2 linked regions of the Macaca fascicularis genome follow. The protein of the gene in region 2 binds, or shares a complex with, the protein of the main gene of each other region. Links are inferred from orthologs where the notes say so. Each region holds a gene or a part of one and is shown on either strand. Other genes may lie near its edges.

Evidence for each region. Proteins that work in one complex are often made in the same cells at the same time.
Region 1: the proteins of NXF1 (region 2) and NXT1 are in contact, whole or in part, in a crystal structure (PDB 4WYK), measured with the Homo sapiens proteins. The link is inferred for Macaca fascicularis from reciprocal best matches to the Homo sapiens genes NXF1 and NXT1. Residues at the interface, in NP_006353.2 of Homo sapiens: Ala366, Pro367, Thr368, Thr369, Leu370, Pro371, Pro372, Cys373, Lys374, Gly375, Tyr377, His411, Gly413, Cys415, Cys416, Ser417, Leu418, Ser419, Ile420, Pro421, Phe422, Arg440, Asn441, Val442, Lys443, Lys444, Lys446, Pro448, Thr449, Arg451; in NP_037380.1 of Homo sapiens: Phe6, Lys7, Val10, Asp11, Cys14, Glu18, Thr44, Val46, Trp47, Asn48, Gly49, Asn50, Ala51, Phe61, Met64, Leu65, Pro66, Ile72, Ser73, Val74, Val75, Asp76, Cys77, Gln78, Pro79, Val80, His81, Glu83, Ala84, Thr85.

What each region holds. Positions count from the first base shown.
Region 1 is NC_088384.1:63,953,226-63,960,693, forward strand, and holds NXT1 (NTF2-related export protein 1), read right to left. Parts: upstream 4,729-7,468; 5' UTR 4,468-4,728; intron 1,553-4,467; 5' UTR 1,492-1,552; coding exon 1,069-1,491; 3' UTR 761-1,068; downstream 1-760.
Region 2 is NC_088388.1:11,254,138-11,260,912, reverse strand, and holds part of NXF1 (nuclear RNA export factor 1), read right to left. Parts: intron 6,691-6,775; coding exon 6,654-6,690; intron 5,542-6,653; coding exon 5,473-5,541; intron 5,393-5,472; coding exon 5,337-5,392; intron 4,724-5,336; coding exon 4,616-4,723; intron 4,501-4,615; coding exon 4,442-4,500; intron 4,332-4,441; coding exon 4,216-4,331; intron 4,093-4,215; coding exon 4,050-4,092; intron 3,179-4,049; coding exon 3,106-3,178; intron 2,610-3,105; coding exon 2,427-2,609; intron 283-2,426; coding exon 222-282; intron 100-221; coding exon 61-99; 3' UTR 1-60.

The DNA.
Region 1 (7,468 bases), on a different chromosome or scaffold from region 2:
GGATCAGTAAAAGCAGCTTCTAGTTCTGATGTCCTCCATCACAGTTTCAGTGCTTCTTCCTCTCAGAATCAGTACTGATTCACTTTCTCTTTATGAATGAGTTTAATATAGTGGCTTCATTTAAAAGCAATTATTAGCTAACTCTAGTATTTCATCTGTTCTCATCAATTCTCAGCTAAGGTGCTAAGATAGGGCCCAGTCATCTGTTAGGTGATTCTGCTACATCCTAAGGTGATGTATCCTAAAAGACAACTAGGGTGCTTTTAAAAACTGCCCATGCCCAGCCCTACCCTCAAAGGTTCAGGCAAACAATTAACCAGTGTGGTGGCATGTGCCTGCAATCCCAGCTACGCAGGAGGCTGAGGCACAATAATTATTTGAACCCAGGAGATGGAGGTTGCAGTGAGCCAAGATTATGCCACTGCACTCCAATCTGGGTGACAGAGCAAGACCCTGTCTCAAAAACAAACAAACAAACAAAAAACAAAAAAAAAAACCCCTATCCACCACCACACACACAGACTCAAGCATGGTTGGGTCTGCAGTATGGCCTTGGCACAGGTAATTTTCAGTGTCCCAAGGGATTCTAGTGTGCATGGGGTTGTGAATCACAGTTCCAGGTGGGTCAACTGTGTGCATACCGGTGCCTGGGGTAGGTACTAAGCCCTGATCCTCACCCCTGTGCGGGTGCTTCCTATTATGCTTTCTGCCTTTAGCCTTCCTCCTCCCTCAAAACCTGGTCAAACACATCAGACGGGGGGAAAGAAGCAACATGTATATTATTAAATTATTTGTCAGAATTTCCAGAATCAGAGTCTCTACTGGGCAAGTAGAAAAATAGAAAAGTTTACTACTTTGAAAAGGAAACTATCACAAACAAGTATATATTCAGGAAAGGGACTCCTAGAACTTGAGCAACAAAAAAAGAGTTCAACCTCAGCACAGTGGAGTCTGCAGTGTCTCCGCAACAACAGAAATGAACTTGTGTTCCTCATATCCTTGAGAGTTGAGGTTTGCATTTCTCTACAGAGCTAGGGCTGAATGAAGCAGAGACCTCTGCCACCCCCACTAGCTGGCCCAATCCTGGAAGCGGAAGCAGTCACTTGCGATCTTCCACACTGTGTTGCTGGGTGAGGCCTGGGCGGTCAGGATGAAGTTCTGGTTGAAGTCCCGTTGTTTGTTCCCCTCAAACTTCACTGATCCACAGATCACAACAAGGACTGTGGTCTGGCTCGGTGTGGCTTCATCATGTACAGGCTGGCAGTCTACCACACTGATTTGGAACTCGCTGGAAGGCAACATTTCAAAAAACTCACTCAAGGATTCTTGTCCTGAAACAGCATTGCCATTCCAGACCAGGGTGGCTGTGCCCATGTACAGGCGGGAGAGCAAACGCCGCCGCTTATCCATGGTGGTGTAGTAGACGTTGACAAACTCCTCAGCAGCTCTGCAGGCCTGATCCACGTAGGTCTTGAAATCCACAGATGCCATTTCTGGTTCTATGGAAGAAGGGCTCCACCAGGGTATTTCCTCTGCCTTGGGGAATCAGGGGCTGCAGGGAAGTAAGGTTGAAGAGAACCCATGTGAATGCCAAAGTTCATTCTGCCCTGACAATGGAACATTCCTCCTTTTCTACTACTGGCAAAATAGTTACAGACTGCAGAACAATGACTGTAGGCTCAAATAGTACCCAACACCTAAATGTCTAATTTTACCAAGCCTCAGTTTGCTCATTGTTAAGATGGGATTACCACTGTGGCAAACTGAGACAGTATACATTGTGTTTAGTTAAAAACATTTAGTTATAGTCAGCACTCCATATCTGAGGGTTTTGCATCCACAGATTCAAGCAACCTCAGGGCGAAACCTGCAAATATATTGGGCTGACTGTGCTATGCCATTTTGTTTTTGTTTTTGAGACTGAGTCTCACTCTGTCACCCAGGCTGGAGTGCAGTGGCATGATCTCGGCTCACTGCAATCCCCCACCTCCGAGGTTCAAGGGATTCTCTTGCCTCAGCCTCCCAAGTAGCTGGGACTACAGGTGCCCACCGCCACGCTTGGCTAATTTTTGTATTTTTAGTAAAGACAGGGTTTCGCTATGTTGGCCAGTCTGGTCTCAAATTCCTGACCTCAGGTGATCTGCCCGCCTCAGCCTCCCAAAGTGCTGGGATTACAGTCATGAGCCACCGTGCCTGGCCTTAACGCCATTTTATATCAAGAACTTGGAGCATCAGCAGATTTGGTCTGTTGCAGGGGTAGGGGGACTGCTGGAATCAATTCCCAGAGGATGAGGAGGGCTGACTGGACCATTAATTTTTTAAATCACACTTTATAAAATAGAGTACATTTGACTATGGAAGGCCACTCTTTCCTGAATGCTTGCAACAGACATGACTGCCCCTTGGTAAAGACAGTGGACCATTTAGAAGGGAAGAGTGGTCACTGGCTCAATAAAGGCCAACCAAACCAACGAAATGCTCGTCAGCTGCTGAGTCTGGGAAAGTCTATCATGGAGCTCACTCAAGAGGAACCAGGAGGGCAGAGAAGGCAGGTTTCTTAAGAGGGTAGAAACACAAATGACATGAGGACAGAACCAAAATGGCAGCCATAATCCCCATGGTAAACTGGAAGCAGCAAATCTCTTGGGTGAGTGGGGATTAGAAGGGAGGACACCCAGCTTACATAGGTACTAATATCCACCACATCAGTCCTGTGGAGCCACAGTGCCTCCACAGAAAGACATGTTAAATTTCAAAGTTCTTGGGTGTGTGGGCACAGAATGTGTACTATAGCTGAAATGTCACACTGTCCCCCCAATAAAAAAGTAAAAAGCATAAAAAAAAATTGACATTTACTTTTTTCAGGGTACAGGTACAACTGTTACGTTATTTTCTCCATAATTAAAATATTTCACTTAAAATAGAAGACATTACTAAAATACTGGATTACTAAAATAGAGGACATTACTAAAATAGTTTATACTTACAAACTTAAATAGTGATTTTTTTTTTTTTCATTTCAAAAAAAGACCTTTTTTTTAAATGATTAGCTTATGAAAGCGATAAAACATTCCACATAGGGCTGGAAAGAGCCAGGTTCTTTTAACGGCTGCAAAGGTGGTGCATTGCCTCTGGTAAAGGGCTGGCTGGGAGGGAAGCTGTCCTAAAAATGAGCAGTTAAGAGCCAATTTCAGACCTGGGTCTTTCCACGCCCTCCACAGACCTCAAAGTGAAGCCTCAACTGTACTCTGAACTAAGTACAGCGGTCCTTCGGTATCTGTGAGGAACTGTATTCAGGACCCCCGAGGATACCAACACCTGCTGATGCTGAAGTCCCTGATAGAACGGTGTACTGTTTGATACAACGTATGCGCAGCATCCTCCTATGTACCTTAATCACCTGTAGGTAACTTATAACACCTAATACAATGTAGAAGGGATGTAAATAGTTGTTATACTGTATAGTTTAGGAAATAATGACAAGAAAAAAAAGCCTCTACATGTTCAGTACAAAGGCATTTTTCTTTTTCTGAAGAGTATTTTTGATTTGAGGTTGGTTGAATCCACCCCACGCGGAACCCACGAAGAAGCAGCGCTGTGTTTGCTAAGAGCTTCACATATATTACCTCATTTAAATGTCACCACAAATGAATGAAAAAGGTATTACTATAACAATTTTACAAATGAGAAAAGGGAAACCTAGGGCTGGATCAAGGTAATGACGGTTAAGAGCATTCCTGATCTATCATTTACAAGACTAGACTGAGGGCTGAAATTTTGTCAAGACGATGCTGTCCTTTTACTCGCGTAAGCAAGTCTCCATGAGGACAACTCCAGGACTGCCGGAGTGGGAATTTTCTCCCAGGGACCCCATTTCTCTTTGGCTGGAATTCCCGATCTCCACCTCACTCCTCTTCCCTCCATGGCACCAGTCCCCCCATCATCTCAGAAATGCCCCTCTTCCCCGCCCCTGGCTGTCCTTCCAAACACAATCTAACAATTGGCCACGCCCCCACACTCCATAGAAGGACCATCTCCACTTTTGGTTCTCAGTTACCTATGGGGCTGTCAGCCCCGCTGCGTCAAATCAGAAAAAGAACCAGACCTTGAGGACTGGAGTAAGAGGCTGTGAAGATCGCCGCCTCCTCCCACGGCCCGCACCGTCGAGTGTCCAGAGCTGGACGGGAGAAGCTACCACAGTGGCATTTCCTGCGAGTCGCCTTTAATTCAAACCTAGACAGACGCACGCCCTGCCCTGCCCTCCTCAGACCCGAGAGCTGCTCTGCGAGGGGACGCGCCTCTCCTCATTGAAGAGAATTCGCTGCCACGCGTTTTGCACAGTAGAGAGGCAACTCTACCACGTGGACAAAGGTACAGCCGTGTCTTATTCCCGACAATGGAGGAGGGCGTGGGGTATGCACGAGAGGCTGTCTCCGGGGTCAGACCGCCGGGGGGACTGCAACCTACCTGCGCGGCGACGTCCAGGGTCAGCGCGGGCCGCTGCGCCCACGGTCGGGATGCCCCCCGCGCGGGCCGCAGCTCCACCGAGGGGCCGGCCGCGGAGGTCACAGGGTGGGCCCACCGAGGCCTCGGGTAGGGGCACGGGAAGAGCCGCCTTTCTTCCCTCCTCTTCCTTCTTGGAGGCTTACTCTGGGTCACCGGGGCCCCACAGCCTGGGGACTTTCCGGCGCAGTTCCGCGGCTTCCCGCGCGCTGCTAGCCGGACTCCGCGCAGACGCGAGCGCTCCGGCCCCGCCCCCTCTCGCATTCCCGTGACGGGCAGCGAGGTTAGCCAGTGGGACTGCGAGCCGGAAGGCTATCTCCGCCCGTGTGTGGCTTATAAGAGGTGGTAGCTTCCGGGAGTGTCACCTTCCCAGAAACCCCGGCAAATCCGCCGTCGAGTTTTTATTGGTCCAACAGGGTCACAGACCCCGGCCCGTCTGGTTAGGTGGGATCCCTGATTGGGCCAAACCTCTCAGGTCCCGCCCCTAGATCCTCGCTGTTCTTTCCGCTGCGAGGAGGCCGCTTGGCTGGAGAGGGAGGGGACGTTGTGTGGGGTTGGGTGAAGTGCTTTCACCTAGTCCCGCATGCCCTTGTATTGGAGTGATTTCAGTTAAAAGGCTCGTGAAACGTCACTACTTGATGCAGTCACGGCCAGCAGCAGCTGCCTGACCCAGCCGAGGCCTTCCGTATGGCAACATGTGAGGCGCCGCGGTGCTTGAGGCCACAGCGAGGGCAAGGCCGGCCGCGCCCTGTGGCATGCGCGTGGCGGAGTGCCTGAGCCGATCGCGCTCCTTAGGAGCTTAAGCCACTTAGAGGCGATGTCCTGGTGGACACAGAGAAAGCCAGTTTTAGTCACATGGGAAATGTAGCTAAGAGTGGGAGGAGACTGGGGCGAGGGTAGGACGTGGGTGAGGCGGGGGCTTGACGGCGGCTTCCCACTGCCCTGAGGCCTGAGGTGTCCCGGGAAACGCGGGCCCGTCAGGAGTTGGGATTCTGTTATTCCGCGTCCCTAGCTAAGTTTCAGCTGTTCTGGAATGAGGACTGGATTTTTACTGAACTTTACCAACAGGCTCAACAGGATATAACCATTCAGTGTGGAGGTTTGAGAAACTGTAGCTTGTAAATTAAAAGAAAAACCTCATTTCTTTAGACAACATTTTCAGCTCCATCTGCTGGTCTGAGGCTGAAAAATTAATTGCAAAGCCAGGAGAGAACTGGGGCTAGATGAAGTGAAGTAGTTTAACCTGTGCTTTCTTGGCGTCCCATCGGCTCCCTTTGCTTGCATTCCTAAGAGAATCTTGGTCTCAGATTTCAGGACACATTGAAAACAGTTGGGCTGTTTAGTATAGGCCACCCCTCCCCCCCCCCGCTCCCTCCCCCCCACCCCACGCACACACTTCAGTTAAGTAGGTGGAGAGTTTGGATTATTAAAAGGACAAGTTGGAGGCTGAGCAGAGAGGGTGAAGGAGCATTTGCGGTGCTTTATGAACTGAAATGACTTTATGAACCCCAAGGCAGTGATACTTGGATTGATCTAAATCGGCATGGATGGAATGGAAGTGGGAATGAGAGTTGATCTACTGCACGCTCAGTAGTTTGGATGTTGTGCTGCTTTTGTTTCATATATAATAAGTCCCTTTCATTTCTTTCACATAACTTATTGGGGGAGGTACCATTATTTCTGATTTCATAGACAAAGAGGCTGACAAAGAACCATCCTGGTGTCACAGGGTCAATTCATACCTAGAAAAGCTGGTTAGAAGAACATTAGGACGTTAGAAGAACGTTAATGAAGCTCCAAGGCCTTTTAAAAATGCGAGACTTTAGCCTTGAGAGGCAGCTGTTCTGCCTTGTAGGTTTGTGGGGTCTGCCTTTTAGGTTAGGGTCCTTTTAGGTTTGTGTCTCCAGCATATAGAGTTGTGCCTGACCCATAGCAAGGGCTCAATAAATACTGTCTGAATGAACAGACAAGCCTGGGTTCAAATCATTGCTCCTCAACTGCATGGTTGTGATGATCTGTCCTCAACACACTCCCTGCTCTCTTTGGAAGCAACCCTGGCTTTTATTCCCCCTATGATCCTGGAGTTTGGGGACGTCAGAGACATCCCTGGTTCCAAAGGGCATACAACTGGCACTGTATGCGTTGAGCACAGCTGAGGGTGGTGGGAGGCCCAATTAGGGCCATTGAGCCTGGAGGTGTTTGCTGAGGGATTCTGGGAAAGGATATTTTTCTCCCTTCCCTTCTGGACCCATGGTGTGTAGATAGCACTGCTGCAGCCATCTTGCTGCCCTGAGTGGTAGACCCTTGATGATGAGGCAGACAGGAAAGCTGGGAAGGAATCAGGCTCTTGATGACTATGTTGGGAGTCAAATCATCCCTCAAGTTTGGACTTTTTAGTTTCAAGAGCCAGGAAATCCCTTTTATCTTTTATACTGTTTAAAATTGGGCATAAACATAAAGTTATTTACAACTTGACTAGTGTGGCTTAAGCATTAGCAGGGTGGCTGTGGCAAGTGAGTTACCTCTTTGGGGCTCAGCTGCCTCCTCTGTAGAATAGGGGCAATGGTCAAATCCATCTCCTTGGGCTGACGTGAGGAGCGAAGGAAACAATGCAACGCTAAGTGCTTCATATGGGGCAGAGCACGAAGTAGCATCCAGAAAGCATTAGGAAAGCAGAATCATGCTTTGACATTTTGCATCTACAGCAGCTTCCTTATCTGCCAACAATCCCTCCAATGACTGGCTTTTAAACTTGGAAGAAGTGTATTGACAAATTGGTGGGATTTGTCACCAAATTGCACGGGCACCTTCTGAAGACGAGCCCAGTGGTTTAAGCAGCCAAGGAGCCAGTGGTCCCATGTGCAGCATGAAGTCCGTCTGGGGAGGACGGGCACATCTGGTCACACAGGCAGAGTCCTTGGCAGCTCTGACGCCCAGGCTTGACTTAAGGATATTTAAGTCTGTA
Region 2 (6,775 bases):
CCAGATGGTAATATCCAAGGACTATTTACAGGGGAGGCTGCTTCTGGGGCATGACTACAATCACTTCATGAATGCCACTTCTGGGATCTCGCCCTTGGCCTGGAGAAAAATGAAGGTCAGTAGAGGCAGGCCTACCATCTCCACTCAGCAACCCCAGCTAACCTGACCTCCGGAAGGCCCAGAGATCCTAGTGTTTTTGCCACTGTATTTCCAGACCTTACCTTGAGATGAGTGAAGGCCTGGGCAGATCTGGTGTAGTCCCAGTTGTTGTCCTGAAGGCACCTGGAGTGGAAGAACAGGCAGCTCTGTAAGAACTCTGACCCCTAAATGCCAGTTGGAAGTCCATTCCATAAAAGCACCCAGGTTTGCCAACAAATATGTACATTCTTATACATCCTTGCACTATTTATACAAATGAGAAATTAGTAAAAGTCCAAATGTTCTACCAATGGCTTATCAAAGATAAGGAATATTAAATAGCTGTCAAGAAGTCCAAGATAGTTTTTACAGTGGTAGGGAAAGATGTTCATGGTGTAAGTAAAGAAACTAAGTTGCAGAACAGTATATGAAAAGGAACTTCCATTTGCCTTTAACGTTTTTTTTTTTTTTTGAGATGGAGTCTCACTGCCGCCCAGGCTGGAGTGCAATGGTGCAATCTTGGCTCACTGCAACTTCTGCCTCCCAGGTTCAAGTCATTCTCCTGCCTCAGTCTCCCGAGTAGCTGGGATTACAGGCGCCGCCACCATGTCCAGCTAATTTTTGTATTTTTAGTAGAGACAGATTTCACTATGTTAGCCAGGCTGATCTCGAACTCCTGACCCCGTGATCCGCCCACCTCGGCCTCCCAAAGTGCTAGGATTACAGGCGTGAGCCACCGCCCCGGCAACCTTTAAAAATTTTTATGCTAGGCCGGGCGCGGTGGCTCACGCCTGTAATCCCACCACTTTGGGAGGCCGAGGCGGGCGGATCACAAGGTCAGGAGATCGAGACCACGGTGAAACCCCATCTCTACTAAAAATACAAAAAATTAGCCGGGCGCGGTTGTGGGCGCCTGTAGTCCCAGCTACTCAGGAGGCTGAGGCAGGAGAATGGCGGGAACCCGGGAGGTGGAGCTTGCAGTGAGCCAACATCGCGCCACTGCCCTCCAGCCAGGGGGACAGAGTGAGACTCCATCTCAAAAAAAAAAAAAAAAAAAAAAAAAAAAAAAAAAAAATTATGCTAATTTATGCACAGGCAAATTTTTGGTAGACTATCAGGGTTTTTTGGTTTTTTGTTTTTAAGACGGAGTCTTGCTCTGTCACCAGGCTGCAGTGCAGTGGCACGATCTCGGCTCACTGCAACCTCCGCCTCCTGGGTTCAAGCAATTCTCCTGCCTCAGCCTCCCGAGTAGTTGGGACTACAGGCGTGGACCACCAAGCCCCACTAATTTTTGTATTTTTAGTAGAGATGAGGTTTCACCATGTTGTCCAGGATGGTCTTGATCTCTTGACCTCATGATATGCATGCCTCAGCCTCCCAAAGTGCTGGGATTACAAATGTGAGCCACCTTGCCTGGCCAACTATTAGGTTTTTTTAAGCAGCCAAAAGCTTTGCCTTTTAAAATTTCAGGAACCCAGGCACGGTAACTCACACCTATAACCCCAGCACTTTGGGAGGCCTAGGTGGGCAACATGGTGAAACCCCATCTCTACAAAGAAATACAAAAAAATGAGTCAGGTGCTGTGGCCTATGCCTGTAATCCCAGCTACTCAGGTGCCTGAGGTGGGAGAATCACCTGAGCCCTAGCAGTTGAGGCTGCAGTGAGCTGTGATCACACCACTGTACTCCAGCCTGGGCATCAGAGTAAGACCCTGTCTCAAAACAACCAAATAAAAATCTGGCTGGGCGCAGTGCCTCACGCCTGTAATCCCAGCACTTTGGGAGGCCACAGTGGGCAGATCACGAGGTTAGGAGTTCAAGACCAGCCTGGCCAACATAGTGAAACCCTGTCTCTACCAAAAAAAAAAAAAATACAAAAAATTAGCCAGGCATGGTGGCATGTGCCTGTAATCCCAGCTACTCGGGAGGCTGAGGCAGGAGAATTGCTTGAGCCTGGGAGGCAGAGGTTGCAATGAGCCAAGATCGCACCACTGCACTCCAGCCTGGGCAACAGAGCAGGACTCCATCTCAAAAAGAAAAAAAAAAGGTGGCACATGCCTATAGGCCCAGCTACTCTGGAGGCTGAGGTGGGAGGATAGCTTGTGCTCAGCAGTTAGAGGCTACATTGAGTTATGATCACCACTACACTCCAGCCTGGATGACAGAGCAAGAACTTGTCTCTATAAAAAAAAAACCAAAAACACACACAAAAAAACCATCAGGAGCTCTCATTATTTACTACTAGCCCTCCTTCAGTTCACCCCGTCCTACACATGCCCAGTACTCACTTCTGGGACCACTCGAGGTTCATGCCAGACTGGGTAGAGAATGCCTGCAACATTTCCTGCTGCTCTGGAGAGAGGGTGGGCACTGGGCTGGAGGAAGGCGTGGGCGCAGGCATAGCGAAGGCTCTTTGGATCTCTTCAGAACTGGCATTCCGCACAAATAGCTCGTCGTTTACAATGCATAGCCTTGAGGACAAAGAGCACTTAAAAAGCTAGACAGATAACGTCATCCTCCCATCATTCCTATTCTCTGATTCTTTCAATATCCACAAGGTCCCCCCCTCCCCCCTTAGCTATTGTTACCTTTTATCATTTATCCCCTCCCATGGAATCAATGTTTGGAAGGATTATCTACCAAACACACTAGAGTTCTCCCGACCCATGGACAGTTCTTAGCTCTTTTATTCATCCTCACGACAAACTTAGGCAGTGAATATTGTTAAATGAATTTTCAGATGAGGCAGCAGCCTACTTGCTGGAAGTGGTGGAGCCAGGATGAAAACCCAGACGGCACAATTCCAGAGCCAAGCTATTAACTAACTGGCTCTTAACTACTATGTGAGCTTTCCCTGATTTCCTGTTGCCTTTCTGAAATCACCCCAAAGACTGACTCTACCTTCCAATTACCACACTGTTGGCCATGATTAGGACTGGTATCCAATGTGAAAAGCAGAATACTTACCCTGAATTGCTAGCAGGAACAGCAATGAACGTCCGGGTGAAGGCTCGCAAAGAATCCCGGGACTTTCCGTCCACTGCAATGAGAACAGCAACGACACCTTAGGGTCACTAGTGCTTTATGTTTACAAACAGCTTCTTGAATCATGGTCTTCTTTGATACAAAGAATCCTAGCGGGTCAGAGAGGGATGATTAAGTATATAAGGGTATAAGGGAAGCAGAGGTGGGGTGAAAGGTCAGGTCAGAAAGGACAATAGTAATAACTACGGCCGGGCGTGGTGTCTCATGGTTATAATCCCAGCACTTTGGGAGACCAAGGCAGGTGGATCCCGTCCAACATGGCGAAACCCCGTCTGTACTAAAAATACAAAAATTAGCTGGGCGTGGTGGTGCGCGCCTATAGGCCCAGCTACTTGGGAGGCTGAGGCAGGAGAACCAGTTGAACCCAGGAGGCGGAGGTCGCAGTGAGCCAAGACTGCGCCACTGCGCTCCAGCCTGGTGACAGAGTGTGACTCTGTCTCAAAAAAAAGTAATTACTACTAATCCACTGATAGCATCTGTGTGCCAGGCCCCAGGCCAAGCACTTTGTAAGTCACTTCAGTTACTTTCTATAGCACCACTATGAGATGGCTATTACTTAACCCCAACTTACAAATAAAGAATCTGTCTTAGAGGTAATGTTACTTGTCCGCAGCCCCACACAACCAAAACTGGGATGGAAACTAAGAACTGCCTGACTCCAAAGTCCTCCTAATCCCCAGGCTTTTCCCATATCCAGAAAGGACAGGTGGAGAGGCAGGCCAAGCCAAGACGGCTTGGGTTCAGAATGGGAGAAGGAGCTCAAAAAGAAAATGGGAGAGAAAGTAGCTGGGAGGCTAAGAGTGCTGAGGAAAATTCCAGCTGGGGGTGGGACCATGCTACAAACTCAGGACTCCAGAGATTCTTACCTTCCTTGAAGACTCCATTGACAGAAAAACACAGCAGTGTACTCTGAAAGAGAAGCAGCATCGGGTACAATGTACACTTCTCAGAGCCTGAGTGCCCCCCCTTGTCTATTAAATGCCACCCCCACCCCAATTTTAGGCTTCTGTCAGGGCACCAACAGGAGCTTACTGTCTGGGCGCTTATGTCTACCACGAAGGAATTGACGTCATGCTGGGTTTTGGGCAACTCGTTGAGGAAGGCAACAACGTTGAGACGCGTGTGCTTCAGCAGCCGGAACCGCAAGGCTGTGGGTGGAGGAGAAAGCTCAGCGGTGCTGCCACATACTCCTGAGTTCTATGACTGATTCCTTCCCATGCCCTTTTCCCATCGTATTTTGTTCATATCACACACTTACTAGGGTCTTTAAGCTTCTTCACATTTCTGCTATCCTTGAAATACTCGGCCAAGCTGCTTCTGGGGGAGTAAGAGGAATGGACGTGGTGTTCAGAGCAGTGCTGCCAGCAGGTGCTGCCTTGTATCTGCTGGGAAACCCAGTGGTCCTGGGGAGATTCTGGGATGTGATACTCACCGGGCAGGGTTCTGAGGAATGAAAGGAATGCTCAGGGAACAGCAGGCCCCATCATGGTAGGCATCCAGGAGCCCTTGCCGGTCTCCAGAGTCATAAATTGCATAGTACCTATGGGAAAATCAAAAGAGAAAGTATGAACTATGTGGTCTAGAGCCATAAAAGGACCCAGTAGCTCCCAAGAGTGAGTTGTGGCCGGGCATGGAGGCTCATGTCTGTAATCCCAGCACTTTGGGAGGCTGAGGCAGATGAACAGCTTTTGCCCAGGAGTTCAAGACCAGCCTGAGCAACATGGCAAAACCCTGTCTCTACTAAAAATACAAACAAAATGGCTGGGCGCGGTGGCTCATGACTCTAATCCCAACACTTTGGGAGGATAAGGCAGGCAGATCATGAGGTCAGGAGTTGGAGACTAGCCTGGCCAACACAGTGAAACCCCGTCTCTATGAAAAATACAAAAATTAGCCAGGTGTGGTGGCACACGCCTGTAGTCCCATCTACTGGGGAGGCTGAGGCAGGAGAATCACTTGAACCCTGGGAGGCAGAGGTTGCAGTGAGCCAAGATCACATCATTGCACTCCAGCCTGGGTGACAGAGTGAGACACTGTCCAAAAAACAAACAAACAAAAAAAAAACCCAAAAGAGTGAGGCTGAGGTGTGCCTGGGTCTGCCCACCTTTCCCTGCCAACCCCGGGGTGGGGAGAGGGGGCCCTGGGATACTTACTGTTGTAGGAAGTGCAGGACCAGACTCTTCAAGTTTTCTGTTCCAAAATAGCTTCCCTGAAATCAAACAAGATATTAGGAACATGGAAGCAGTATTCTCTCCACACATAAGTTCTTACTCAGTCCATGCTTCCTACCTTGCAGGGCGGTAACGTCGTGGGGGCTTCAACATCAAAGGCAATTGGCGGGGGTAGCTCATGGCCATCCTGTGGAAAGGAAATAAAAGTTGACAGTGTAGACTGAGCACAGTGGCTCACACCTGTGATCCCAGAACTTTGGGAGGCCGAGGCAGGCAGATGGCTTGAGCCCAGGAGTTTTAGACCAGCCTGGACAACATGGCAAAACCCATCTCTACCAAAAAAAAATACAAAAATCAGCTGGGCGTGGTGGTGTGTGCCTGTAGTCCCAGCTATTTGGGAGGCTGAAGTGGGAGGATCACTTGAACCTGGCAGGCGAAGGTTGCAGTAAGCTACGATTGTGCCACTGCACTCCAGCCTGGATGACAGAGCGAGACCCTGTCTCAAAAACAAAACAAAAGTTGACAGTTTAAACCAGAGAGAAAAAGGCTGGATGCATAAGTAGACTAAAGAACTAACAGAGAAGGATCAGAAGTCACGTATAAAAGCATCATGAAAAGTATCCAGGAATCCAGGCTGGGCACAGTGGCTCATGCCTGTAATCCCAGCACACTGGGAGGCCAAGGTGGATGGATTAGTTGAGGTCAGGAGTTCAAGACCATCCTGGCCAACATGGTGAAACCCCCGTCTCTACTAAAAATACACAAAGAAATTAGCTGGGCGTTGTGGCACATGCATGTAATCCCAGCTACTTGGGAGGCTGAGGCAGGAAAATCGCTTGAACCCAGGAGGCGGAGGTTGCAGTGAGTCTAGATTGCACCGCACTCTGGATAACAGAGCAAGACTCCATAAACGGCCTGGCAAGGTGGCTCACGCCTATAATCCCAGCACTTTGGGAGGCCAAGGTGGATGGATCACCTGAGGTGAGGAGTTTGAGGCCAGCCTGGCCAACATGGTGAAACCCTGTCTCTACTAAAAATACAAAAATTAGCCAGGCGTGGTAGCACATGCCTGTAATCCCAGCTACTCGGGCTCAGTAAACTGTGGCAGGAGAATCGCTTGAACCTGGGAGGCGGAGGTTGCGGTGAGCTGAGATCACGCCGTTGCACTCCAACCTGGGCGATAAGAGTGAAACTCCGCCTCAAAAAAAAAAAAATAATAAAAAGAAAAAGAAAACTATCCAGGAATCCTTGTGAGTGGGAGACACTGTGCTTGTTAGAATGAAAAAATTATGGACTTACCAGGCGTAATAACTTGGGAAATCGTTCGCGAATGGCGCTGTCAAGAACGGGACAGAAGTAAGTGATGCTTCAGAGCCACCGTGCCTCCTGGGCTGCTCTAGGAGCAAATATACCAAACCCGA